3 linked regions of the Drosophila melanogaster genome follow. The protein of the gene in region 1 interacts with the protein of each later gene in a pairwise test. Each region holds a gene or a part of one and is shown on either strand. Other genes may lie near its edges.

Evidence for each region.
Region 2: the proteins of nub (region 1) and IP3K2 interact in a two-hybrid assay, tested with the Drosophila melanogaster proteins (one large-scale study listed by BioGRID).
Region 3: the proteins of nub (region 1) and NimB2 interact in a two-hybrid assay, tested with the Drosophila melanogaster proteins (one large-scale study listed by BioGRID).

The regions. Positions count from the first base shown.
Region 1 is NT_033779.5:12,586,102-12,590,681, forward strand, and holds the start of nub (nubbin), read left to right. Parts: upstream 1-1,523; 5' UTR 1,524-1,951; intron 1,952-4,580. UniProt on the Drosophila melanogaster protein: DNA-binding regulatory protein implicated in early development. Involved in neuronal cell fate decision. Repressed directly or indirectly by the BX-C homeotic proteins.
Region 2 is NC_004354.4:13,303,533-13,308,540, forward strand, and holds the start of IP3K2 (inositol 1,4,5-triphosphate kinase 2), read left to right. Parts: upstream 1-1,982; 5' UTR 1,983-2,347; coding exon 2,348-3,415; exon of another isoform or gene 3,416-4,472; intron 4,473-5,008.
Region 3 is NT_033779.5:13,964,486-13,968,685, reverse strand, and holds NimB2 (nimrod B2), read left to right. Parts: upstream 1-1,667; 5' UTR 1,668-1,761; coding exon 1,762-2,180; intron 2,181-2,674; coding exon 2,675-3,211; intron 3,212-3,289; coding exon 3,290-3,599; 3' UTR 3,600-3,633; downstream 3,634-4,200. Other genes in the region: NimB4 (nimrod B4), read left to right, coding at 1-343; NimB3 (nimrod B3), read left to right, coding at 775-935, 992-1,199; NimB1 (nimrod B1), read right to left, coding at 3,634-3,892, 3,948-4,151.

The DNA.
Region 1 (4,580 bases):
CGTCGATCGCGCCGATACCCGATTCCCGATCGCTGTTGACAGCTTTTTTAAATGCCGGCAAATTGAGCAACAGGTAAAATCTCCAGCCCGCGGAGGTGAATCAACTTAATTGCTGGCGGAATTGTGTCAGCAGATCGTGCGTATGCGATTTGTGAAGCAGCGGCGCCCTCCAAAACAATGCCCTTCAATGGAAACTCCGCGGGGCAGGTCCAACCTGAATGCTCTTCGCCATTCAATGGATAACCGTTTAGCTGGGAAATATTTCTTTCGAATTTTTGACGATTAATTTACATTGTTGAGTTTATCCAGATGATGACAAACTAAATACACTCCATATAAACAGAACTATTTTTTATCATGTGTAAAATAATAATTTTGTGTAGTTTTTTTTTTAAGGTATTGTTAGCAAAATGTAAGTAAGCACGTAGTAAAACAAAGAAAATGTATAATTATCTAGTTATATAATTACATATAATTTCTTATCTGGATGAAACCAAGAATGAATGGCAAGATACATATATAAATTTATTTATTTCAATACAAAAGTATTGTACTGAATTAAGCCAAAGGGAAATAAATCGCAATAAATTCAAATTCCCTCGCAATTAAAAGCTTTTACTACAAATTCGCATTCCTCTAATCAATTTGTACTTAGATAATAGCCGAAGCAAACCTAAAAATAACGCTGCCAATAAGAGGCGTTGGCGAAACCAGTTTGCAAAACAAAAATCCAATTGGATAAGTCCGGGCCCCAAAATAAAGATAAAGCCCCCACCTGCGTCAATGTGACAGTTAACGAGGCGATATATGCAGGCGGAATGAGAGTCTATGCGAACGTATCTCCCAATTGGACGGAGAGTCACGGCTCCACCTCCAATTGGATTAAGTAGGCACACACACAAGGGGGCGATAATCATAAATTTAAATAAAGCGAGGGAGCATGCAAGTGAGAGAGGGACAGCGAGCAACCAGATTTGAATATTGCAAGAGTGTGTGTGAAAATTAGCGAGCGCGATTAGTTGTCTCTTTTTCCCCAACGGGTCAGCTTTTTGTGGAACCTAAGTGAGCGATCGCTGCTTTTTGCAGTAGTAGTGGTGAGTGGAGAGCGCGCAGAGAGAGCAAGAGCGAGAGTTTTTCAGAGACAAGAGAATTTTAGCTCTCAAACTAAACTTAATTGTTTTTTTTTACACTAAAATGAATTAATGTTTAAACATAACTCATTGCGGTTTTGAGAGAGCTTAAGCGCTCTCTTTTATCCCTCTCCTGCAATTGCAATGTTGCAAGCAGGTGTGCATCTGTGTGTGCAAGTACCTGCAGCAGATACGAGCAACTAAAGTCACGCACACTTACAGCAAAACCCGAACACAGAGACACTTCACATTGCAATTGTTTCAGTGCACTGCCGTTTGTTTATTTGCCTTTTGTTTATATGGATTTGGCAAAAAAAAACTTGTTGCAGCCCGCTGCCGTTAAAGTTGCCGATCTGTTGCGCATCTTTAAGATACTTTTGGCGAGCTCGCCTCAGTTGAGTTCAGCGTTCAGTGGTTGTAGCTCAAGTGCGCGCGCTCCCCGGACTTTGGCAACACATTTTGTCCTCCGCGATATCCCATGCGCTACTCGACCGATACAATACGATCCCGAATGAACCCCTCTAATAAAAATCCCCATTCTCATCGCTCTCGCGTCGCGATTTTTCCGATCTCTTTTTGTGCCGCAGTTTTTTGCGTTTTGACGACGGCATTTGTGCGAATCGAAACGTGCTGCGAATGAGACGCAAATTTCGCTCATAGTAACATCATAATTTATTGAAAAACTATACGCTTATAGTTTTTAAAGAGTGCCCCATATTGTGCAGATAAAGTACAGTGATAACTAATAACTTATTCACTTGAACGAAATGAATTTGATATTTAAAGATTGAAATGTTTGTCTGAAAAACTCAACAATTGAGGTAAATCCCATGAGTATTAAATTAAGCTATGAAAAATATAAAAGAATTCATAGAAATTTTATTGACACATATCTAGAAAGGTTGATTATTTGTGTACAAGTTGTTATACATGAAAATAAAATAACAATATACATGTGCAGAAAATAAATTTAAAGTTGTAGTTACCACAAAAATAAATTTTTTAATGATTGAAAACCAAGACCAAGGGTCTGAAGCTTCTTGAAAAATTTTAGAATTGCTTACAGTCATCTTTTTGGTATATAAATATTTAAATACCTTGGTAACCAACAAATTTAGGAAAGAAATACAATTGTATAAATGTTTTATTTATAAAAGAAAATAATAATGGGTCATTTAATAAATAACTTCACTGATTTTCTAATTACGAAAATGACTTACCTTTTTTGACTAAAAGATTGAACAATTTTACAACAAGTGACATCCGAAATTTTTGTTGATAAGAGTTCCCCAGGCCACCTGGACCCTAATCATGATTCATTCAATTAATCAAAGCCGTGTAGAATTTCACAATCCTAATCTGCAATCTCTAACAAGCTTTAATAAATGAAACATTTTTGAATTTATGTTGCCTAGCGTTTTTAAAGGGTTTTACCCCACCCCGCAGCAGTAAATAGTGTTTGACAATCTATAAAACGGGCTTTTCACCACTTAATTTACTGAAAATTACTGAAAGTAAAGGAAATGTATACCATATAAGAGGGGGGATATTGTATAAACCATTTTTAAGTAAGGCGCCTTGAGTTTCAGACCGGAGGTAAACAGAACCTGCATCAAAGTTTACTCTACAAAAGTTGAAGTGGGATACCTGTAACTCCAGTATCTTTCGCAATGTCGCCGGGGGTGAACGGTGAGGCGAGAAATAATATTGAAATTGAAATAAATAAATACGGCAAACAAAGTGCGAGAAAAATCGATCGATTTACACTTTAAATATCGTACCAACCCACCGTTCGATTTGTTTAATGTGTATATCTATATCAATACACAAGCGTATATTATGTTGCCTTATTGATAAGGCGATCGGCACGATATGTTTTATTAGCATAACACTTGTGGTGTGCCGCAGTTTTGAGTTCAAGTGCCTCTGGACAAGTTGGAACTGCATTTCCTTTTGGTTGGACACTCGTTCTTTATTTTTTTCTTATTCAAATGCCGTTATCTGGGTGGCGTATATAGATACAGCCGTACAGATACCATTACCATTTGCTGTAACGATCGAGTGATTGATTATTTTTACAGTACAATAATAAATATTTGTCCAGCGTTTGTCGCGTTGCCTGCTTAGCCTAATTAGATAAAAATGGAATGGAAAAACTTAACCTGCTTCTTTCTTCTCCTTCTCGTTCTTGGCGTAGCATTATCTCGACTGCGTTTTCCCATTTACCATATTCGGTGCTCCTCCAGCCGAACTGAACTGATTAAGCCCGACCGGGCCAAGAAGACCAAGACGAGTTGGTTCTTATTGGAGTATCTATATCTATGCGTAGACCCGTGTCGACAATTGCGTCGAAGCTGTTGTTTAAAAAGAGAAATGAGTTCAATTTGTTTGCTCTGGCCTGATAAGACAACTCCGTTCGCAGGTTGGTTGGGTGGTGAGGTGAGGAGAGTTGAGATAGAGTCAAGAGCCAAGAACCAGTGCCATGCCACACACTTCATACCCCAGCACTTTGCATATCAACAATGAAATTGTTCATGTTCAACAATGAAATTTCGGCCAAGCCCCAAAAAAACTAATCAATTGAATGGGTATCGATTTGATAGCAGGATCCTCAAAGGTGACAGGTGCTCTGAAAATGTCTTTTTTTTTACTCTTTAAAGTTACTTACTTTTAAAGGTGATTAGGATTTGAGTTTTTCATTACGTTAGGAGCATATTACTCCCATTCCGAAAATAGATTTATAGTCACCCGCTTTAAATAATTTGTAAAATGAGGTCATATATCAGTGAATTAGATTCTTATCAAGCTAATCATTTCCGTATATCATTTAAATATGAATCACTTGAGACTTGGCGACCAAAAGAATCAGCGGATGGTTGATAAGAATTATTGATTTCTTTGCGGTTGATAAGCCAAATTCGTTAAAAGGGTCCTTTCCCCCACTACTATCTTCTTCGTGCGGAAATTCGATTGGCGCGATACAATAAAATATAATTTGCAAAATTAACAAATAAGTTGAAGGCTCGTGATTAAAGTTTATTAAATTCAATTCTTGGAACTCGTAATTCTTTCACCGGGGGTAAACAATAGAATCTTGAAATATGGGCTGATGTTTAGTCCGCGCAAAGTTCATTGGGGGGCTTGTTTCGCTTAACACGTTTCACATTTCGCAATCTTGGAAATCGGTTTGCACCGGTTTTTCACTTTTTTGTTTCGATGGTTTGCGTTAGGTAAGGTCCGGTGCGATACAACTTGCCTCAAGTGGCGTTAAGTTAAGGGCTGCGTACCTGATATTTGGCACATTAGCAAGTGTCTTCTTAAGTATATGTTTATTAACTCTAAAAAAGTCATGACATTTATTCCATTATTATTATCATTATAAATACGAAATTTATTGCACATATGTAGAAACTAAAACAGCTAACTTATATTTTATATTTTATGATTGCA
Region 2 (5,008 bases), on another chromosome or scaffold:
GTTTTGTGTTTTGCAAAAAGTTGGTGTAAAGCGATAAAATGTTATTTGCGTCATTTGGTCTGATAGTTAACTATAAAAAGCAAGATGGGAACTTATTTATAAGCAGAAACATGAACACGATACGAACATGGGCAGAGCTATTTAATTTTGTTCATATTTCAACGGGAATTTTACAGCTTGTAATTGTTTACTAAAGACTGCTGCCAGTTTTAAACCATACAATTTAGTTTTTAATAAGTGCTTGTACTGCAAAATTTAATTATACCTTTTGTTTCGGTAAGCTTCATAAATCTGATCTTGAAAAACTAGTTAGTGCTTTAGTTGCTTTCCGGGAAAAGTTCTTAGTCAGCTGGGTTTTTTTTAATTCATTTTTTTTTTTTGGCGATAAATCACCGATTCGTCCCATTGTGCGTGACTGTGCGCTTGTAGTGGTGCTCGCAGAGTGCTTTATTGCATTGGGCTCGCATCGCCTGTCAGTCTGTCACTGTGTGTGCTGGTGTGCGTGCGCCTCTCTGTGTGTTCGCGCGTGTGTGTGTGTGTGCGACGTATCTGTGCCCGCTCAGTGCTCTGTGCTCAAATGCAATTTACAATTACGCGCGGCAATTGGAGCAGCTACCGTTGTGTGCGTGCGTACGTGCGGGATCATTGCACATTGCGTCAACGTTTCAAGATCACAATTACAATTACCCCGACGCAGTGGCAGTTGCAGTAGCACCAAAAAATCCATCTCAATTGCGAGAGAACCGAACAGTGGCAAAAGCAACCGAAAATTAAGTAAGGCACAGCAAATTTGTCGAAGAAAACTATCAACAATACAAGTAAATAAGAACGGCAGAACGGCCGCCCGCCCCCACAACAGCTGCTCTCCGTTGATGCGCCACTCCACTCCGCGGCTCAACGATTCTTCTATACAATTCTTCGAGCCTCCTCCCCTCGCCCATTCTCGCCCCACGAGACTCCCCTCCCCCCGCCCCCCACGCTGCTCTTCTCGATTCTTTTCGCCCCTCCCGCCGGCCCGCTGGAAAAAACGGGCAGAGCTGCAGAGCCGCAGAAAGCGATTTCAGTTCGGCGACGGCAGCGCACAGGTGCCATTCGGAAAGTGCGGACGTAGAATGTTTGCCGGGAATTCCAGTGGCATTTTCACCTATAGTTCCACTCGATTTTGCCTCGACGCCAGCGTTAGTAGCGCGTTTCGACGGAACACACAGATCGTTTTCCAACACCATAAGCACCATTTCACTTTTGAGTCTTTCCTTATCAGTCACTCCCAATCACTACCCAACCATCATCCACTACTCTTCACTAGTTTCTCTTTCTACTATCCTTTTTCTTATTATTCCCATCCTCCCTTTTAACTATCTTCACACACTCATTCTTAACGGAAATCTTCACTGTTTTTATGCTTTCTACTATCGTTCTATCCGCCAGCCTTTCACTTTTCACTCGCTTCTAACATTTACCATTCTAGCTATTTTTTTACCATCTCTTACCATTGAATTCTTTATATAAGCCTTAGTAAATTAGTATACAGAAAATAGTACGAATTTCCATTTTCCATTTTCTGCACTTTTTTCAACTTCTTCTGCTTACAACATCTTTCTTATCACCAATCCCATTACACTTTCTTGCATATTCCTATTTCATTTTTGCTGTTCTAACGAATCTCACACTTACTTCATTAGTCCCAACTCTTTGCTAACCTGGTGTATACATACCTTTACCCACCCCACCTCTACCCGCGATCCAGCCAATCCATCCATGTGAGATGAGTGCGTGCGACGGCGGTACGGGAACGGTTTCGCGAACGTCTGACGCCCCCGCTTTCCAATTCGATGTCATGCCAAAGATAACGACGTCGACGTCGACGTCGAAAGCGTCGGCAGCGAGGGCGAAAACGAAAACGACAGCAAAAGCAACAACAATTGGAAAAACAACAACGACGACAACGCGGAGAACGGTTAAAATTGAAAATAAATGGACGACGGCAGAGGCAACGGCGTTCAGTTATCAGCGGACAGCGGAGCAGATTGGAGCTAGTGCCCGAGCCAGAGCCAGAACCAAAGTAGCAGCTACAGTCAGAGCTAGAGCAAACCCAATTGCGGCCACATCCAATCAGCGAAGTGACATTGGTTATCCATGTGAGGTGGCATCCATCTCCGAGTTGGCCCTACGCAAGGCGCAGTTGAAAGCGCAATTTTTCGGCAATCAAGTGGGTGGATTAGCCCGCGATAGCGAGACAAGCAGCACCACTAGAATCACTCGCACCACCAACTACCGCAGTGCTTATCCCAGCTGCAAGACGGAACGAGGCAAGCCGGTGCAACAGCTAATCGATCAGTTCCAGGCCATGATTGTCCAGCAGCAGCAGCAGCAGCAGCTGAGCAACGAGGGCGAGCCCAAGACACTGCCCGGAGCCACTGCATCCAATTCGGATGAGGGCTGTAATGTCACCGGCGGCGGACTGAGTCCCTATAGCAGCGACAACGAGGATAACAGCCTATCGCCGAGGCAGCGCAAAATGAAGGTCACACGCTGTGCCAGTAGTGATTCCGCCCTGGGTCTGGACGTGGACGATGGCGGCATGGATGTGCCGTTGCCGCCACAACGTCGGATGACACTGACCGTAACGGATTTACCCCTGCGACCGGCCCTACTGCCACTGGCCGAACCCACAGCCCTGCCAGATTCGCCACTGACATCGCCCACCGGCGGTGGCAATCCGAGCGTGGGTGTGCCCACCAAGGTGCTGCTCGAGGAGCGAGTGGTAGCCGCACCGGGATCGCGACGTGAATCCACCCAGAGCTCGTACAGCGAACTGGGCGTCAGTGGACTGCCGCTGGGCGTGCGCTATGTGCGCACACCATCCGTCGTGGTTAGCGACTATTCGGATGACATAACCGCCTGCGGCATTAGCATGGAGGAAATGGAATACTTTCGTCTGCAGCGGGCGCGTGGTCAGCGGCGTTGTTCCCTGGAGGCGGGACATCACAGTCATAGCGGTGGACATGGCGCACATGGACACGGTGGATCGGGAGCGGCGGGAATGTCGCCGGGATGTGGCAAGGACGATGGCCAATCGGATGTCAGTGCAGCAAGCAGTTGCAGCAATCTCTACTATTGTGGATCCACCATTTCTGCCCTCGATGGTGGCGAGTGCATCGTGAATGGAGTTCGAGTTGCGCTCGCCAGGAAGAGCAGCACCCAGAGCAGCAGTCTCAGCGACGAGGAGGAGGAGGAGGAGGATGACGACGAGGATCGCGATGAGCAGGATCGCGATGAGGATGATCGCGATGCGGAGGAGATGCTTCAGGAGGATTACGAGCGGGGGGATCGCGAACGTGAGAGGGAGCGGCAGATCAGCGAACTAATGGCCGCCACGCAGCTTGGTGATCGTCAGCGGGATCGATCCAAGAAGGTAGGCGCCCGCGATGACGTCACAAACCAGGGAAATCTCAAACTAGACTAAAGAATTCGGGTTGGCAAAACGGACAAGTAACAAAGTGGAGCAGCCTAGTAAATTTAATATTAAACACTATTTTTTTTTTTTCGTTTTTAAATATCATTAATGATTGTTTGTGTTGTTGTTATCGAAAGCATAAAAGAGCAGTGAATGAGGGCAGGTCTGAATGGCAGCGAAAGAGATAAGCAAGTTGGTGCATATACACAGGGAGAAACGGGTGCTACGCGTAGATGAAATGTGGCATAATTAAAAAAAAAAAAAAACAATCTATTTTGCTCTAGAGCAGTATTATACCGTTTAGTTTATCAACTGCAAGACCATTATAACTATAGAAAAAGACTATAATAATAAGACTTTTACAATACGCATATCTATTAAATATAAAAAGAAAAAAAAAAACAAAGAAAATCCCTTGAACTACTGACTTGATAATGCGAATTACCACTAAGTTTCATCTTGTTTTAAAGATGATGAGATGATATATAGGCTCAAGAACGGTAATCCCGCGCCTTATCAGCTAATGGTTTTTCCACCTTGCATATGCAGGTCTTTTCTTTCAGTGTATGCGTTTGCTTAAAAGGCTATTAATTAATTAGAATTTTATCTTATCACTAAAATGAGGTTCTGTTACTCGGAGAAGTCTTTTTGTATTCTTCGCTTTTCGTTCGCTATAATAATTATCGTTTTTTTTTTTTTTTTTTTTTTTTTTTTGAGTGAATGAGAACGATATGATGGTGGTGATGTTGAAAAATAGGGGGTTCCTTGATAAAAAAAAAAAACAAGTATATATCTACGAAAATACGAAAACCTCGGATCCGTTGGTTTAATTCGTTTTTTTTTTCGTATCTAGAACTGCAAAACAAAACAACGGCAGCGATAGCGAGGAAAAGAGCTTATCTTAGTTAACTGTATACTGTATTATAGATAAATATTATGTACATATATAAGCCAGCACATATTTACGTTTATATAATGGCATCTTTTTTTTTTTGTGGTTTATTATTCCTTTTGTTGCTGTTGCTGTTGTCAGCAGACGGCGAAAAGTTTGTAAAGCAAATAAAAGTATTAGAAACCGAATTTTCGGAGTCATGATAACGATAATAAAGCAATTCACCTGGATATCTCATACATACATACATGTACATATGTGTATATGCAAGAGATATGGATATGTATGTTGTCTGATCGTATATGTATGTGTGCCAATGTGTGTTTGGTTAATAATGTTACGCGCTTATCAAGCGGGTTTATCTGCCTGGCATTCATATAGCAATATATGGTATATATGTATATATATACCCTCACCGCCGACAAAAGCAATAATTGGAGGCATCCCAGAAATGGCCTGTTGTTCTTCTACTTTTTTTTAAGCCACGGGCATGCGGCTTATATATGCTTAATACGATATACTATCTACTGTATAGTGTGGTTATATCTATGATGATCCCATCCGCCAGTCTAACACAATTGTATAAAGCTCTGTCTTACGGGTTGTTGTTTTTTTCTTTTATTTTTTTTTTTATTATTATTTTTTTTTCTTTGCGGTGG
Region 3 (4,200 bases), 1.4 Mb from region 1:
CAAGGGCTACGTCCGGAATCGGGAGCGATGCGAGGCGGTCTGCGTGGGTGGATGTGGTTTTTACGGCAAATGCATCGCACCGAATGTGTGCGGATGCGCCATAGTCCCGGGTCCGGAACGCACCTACCAGCGTTGCGAGTACGGATTGTGCAACGCCATGGGAAGATGCCGCTGCCAGGTGGGCATGACGCGATTCATCGATCGCTGCATGTCGCCGGACACGGTCACCACATACGCCTCTATGAATCCCGTCAAGGTGAACGCATCGCTCATCCAGGAATTCAATCTTCTGCTGGGCAGGCACTTCAACTTGACCACACTCAGCGATATGTGGTGGTTGTGAGTTCGGAGCTCTCACTTTTCCAGCATCACTGAGCAGTCTCTAATAAATATTCATGCATTTCCCAAGACGTTGTGTTCTTATCAGGGGTGTCTGAAATATCTTGTGGCTTCATCTCTTGGGATTTCGCTTTTTTGAAGCAAGTCTAGCTTAAATTGTAAACGTACGTCGAAGATTTGGTACCCTCTCGAAAGTTGTTTCATTTGAATAGGTATTTATTATTTGGTATATCACTTATTTTCTGCATAGTCAACATACCCCACGAATACCGGGTACTGAACACATAATTATCTTCCTAGGAATATAGAACATTTCTATCTCCGTACACTTAAATGCCGCGCTTGACACAGACGACAATTTAGTAGCTCCGAGACACTGGCGAGCATTGCGCTCGCATTTTGATACGACCTCGCCTTCAGCTGAATCCGAGCGAAATGCACTTGACATCCACGCTGATTGGACTCCTTATCTGCGGTCTGGGGATCGAGCTGCCCACGCGCACTGCCGCACAATTCTGGTCGGTGGATCCTGTTACGCAGTGGCGAAAAGAGGCTCTGGCCGAGAGGGGATCCGGCATCTGTTACAGGACGCTCACGTAGGTAAACCATTCCGCACGCCTGACCGAATTTCAAGATCAATTCCCACTCCCAGCGTGGAAACCATCAATCCCAACTCCAGAAATCGTCAGTTCTCCTACTGCTGCGATGGTTATGTGAATAAGGGAACAAGCCAGAACCTGAAGTGCGAGCCCATTTGCTCGGAGGACTGCTCCAATGGATTGTGCCTGGCGCCCGAGGAGTGCGAGTGTGCTCCGGGTTACTATCGGAGTAACAAAAGGTGTCGTTTTGTCTTGGAATAACAAAAATAAATAATATCAATTACAATATTTTTTGAGTTGCTTACTTTATCATTATTTGATCAATACTTCTACTATTTGAAATATTATTAACCTGTTTTTTACGACCATTCATGATTACATAGAAACGTTAAATTTTTTTTTTGAAAAAACCTTCATAAGTTTTAAAGGTTCATCATTTTTATGTTCTGTGCCTTTAAATCTGATATTTCATCAAGAAATAATCTCTATACCTGAAGTCATCGTTGTACGCAAACTTTTCTTGGAATTACCCAAAAGCAATGAGTTTTGTTTACGACTCACAATTTATGGCAATGATCGATTTGCTTTGCCCGAAGCTACTGAGAGCAAACCTTCGCTCCGTTTGCCACATTGATGGGTACATTGGCGAGGTGCTGATTAGAAGGGGGACAAGAGGTTGCCGGAGGCGAATGGCGGCTCAGAGATCCGGAGCTTCGCATCGGGAGCCGATTAGTCGATGTGCAACTACAGTCGCCAGCGGACGTGGACGTGGGCGCATAATCAATTTCCATACGTACGAAATCCGTAATCAAGTGACATCACCATGAGGTCATCATCGTGCCAGCTGGTGACTCTGGGCGTTCTGCTGGCCATCTGTTCCCTGGGTCAGGGACAATTCAAGACGGCTGGCATCAAGACACGGCAGCCGCCATCGGGAAACCTGCAGCTTGCCGGCAATAGCAGTGAGTCGGGATGGAGGAGCTACAACCAGAGCAGCTACGGTTGGAGCACTCAAAACCAGAGCAACTACGCCTGGAACCAGCAGAACCATGTGGAACAGGGATCCGCTGGATTTGTGCGCGCCGAGGTCTTTCAACCGGTCACATTGCCGCCCCTTTATGGACACTACGTGCAGCCGGTGACTCCGCCCGCTCATCGTGTCCAGGTCCTGGATGAAACGGCCCTGTTCATCAACAAAACCAGATCTGCCATGGCCAGTGGTGTGTGCTACAAGGAAGTTCCGTAAGTGATGGGTTAATTTCGGACAAAAAATACTAACAATCGAGAGGAAAACACTTTTATAATTCCACTTAAAGCTATCGCCCAATTCGGAAGGCATTCGAAAACAAGGCAAGCCATAAAAATAGTGAACTAACGACCTCAACTTCCTCCGCTGGCCTGATAATTAAAATGCGCCTTGATTTCACGAGTATATGTGTGCCAAGCTAATAATGTGAATGAATTTAATATGCAACGAGCGGAAAGTCAGTAGATAAGCGAAAAGTTTTTAAATTTAGTTGAATTGACTAGTTTCATTTGCATTCTCTTGGACAATATGTAGTTTAAAACTTTAAAGGACAAAATTATTTTTCAATTTTGACACACATCTTTACTAAGGTATTATTTAGACATGTTGATTATCTGTTTTATTAGTTTCCCTAGGAAAAATATATGTCATTGCATTCATGATTTTAAGTTGTTTAAGTAAACCTAATGTTTTCCTTGTTTATATCCAGAACCGCGTCACTGCTCCGCAATTCGCGGGATCAGTTCGTTGGCAATGGCACCACTCCGGACATGAGTCGCATCCAAGTCTGCTGCGATGGCTATGAGCGAAATCCGCACATCTACCGCCGCTGTGAGCCGATCTGCGCGGATGACTGCCGGAATGGAATATGCACTGCTCCGAATACCTGTGTCTGCATACCCGGCCACGTTCGCACCGCCGAGGGCAAGTGCATCTCCACCTGTCCCCTGGGCTGCGGCAACGGAGTGTGCGACGAGCGGAATGAGTGCAAGTGCCGCGAGGGATACTCGCTTGAGCCGGAGACTCGTAAGTACTGCCAGCCGGAATGCAAGCCCGGCTGCTCCTTTGGACGCTGTGTGGCGCCCAACAAGTGCGCCTGCCTCGACGGATACCGCCTGGCCGCCGATGGATCCTGCGAACCAGTGTGCGACAGTTGCGAGAATGGCAAGTGCACGGCTCCAGGACACTGCAACTGCAACGCAGGCTACCTAAAGCTCCAAGGACGCTGCGAACCCATTTGCTCCATGTAAGTGTGGCCTTTAAAAAACAATGAAATCTGCTTGCGATGTATAGTTTAGATAATTTAATTATTTCCCTATTTCAGACCCTGCAAGAACGGACGCTGCATTGGACCGGACATCTGTGAGTGCGCTTCCGGTTTCGAGTGGGACCGGAAGTCGGCCGAGTGTCTGCCGAAGTGTGACCTTCCGTGCTTGAACGGCGTCTGTGTGGGCAACAACCAGTGCGACTGCAAGACCGGATATGTGAGGGACGAGCACCAGCGGAACATCTGCCAGCCACACTGCCCGCAGGGATGCCAGAACGGTTACTGCAGTGCCCCAAACTTCTGCATCTGCAGGCCGGGATTCATCAAGAGCGGCATCAAGGGACGCCAGACCTGCCAGGCCGTCTAACTTAGACTTTCGCACTTTATTGTTTCGTCTTGGATCAGAAATTAAATAGACGCCCTATCAGGGCATTAAACTCATAAGCAAGTTGGCGATTGAAGTGCTTTCTCTTTTCGCTAGTGTTGAGATGCTGACTGAGGCGGTCCGCCTTCAAACAGCGATCGATGAAGTGGGTTTCCCCCGATGGGCAACTGCAGTGCTCGATATCGTCACAGCTTCCGTTCCGGCAATGCTGTTGACCCTCACCACAGCCGCAGATTTCGGGAGCCACACAACGCCCGTATTTGCCGCAGAATCTGCTGAATAAGCGGAACTTCATGAAGGTGAACACAGCTTTTGCTCCGGGTAACAGACCTCTCACACTTTGGCCGACACTCGGCACCGTGGACCTCGTATCCTCGGAAGCAGCGGCACACTCCGGGCGCAATGCACACCCCATTTCCTTGGCCACAGTTGTCGCTGCACTCCGGCAAACAGCTGGTGGTGTTCACGTCGTAGCGATATCCTTCGCGGCAGTGACACTTGTACCGCGACTCACAGAGCCCATTCTCGCAGTTCCTGGAAGCGATAAGCAAATGGCTTAAATTGGCGGACAAATTTAAGATAC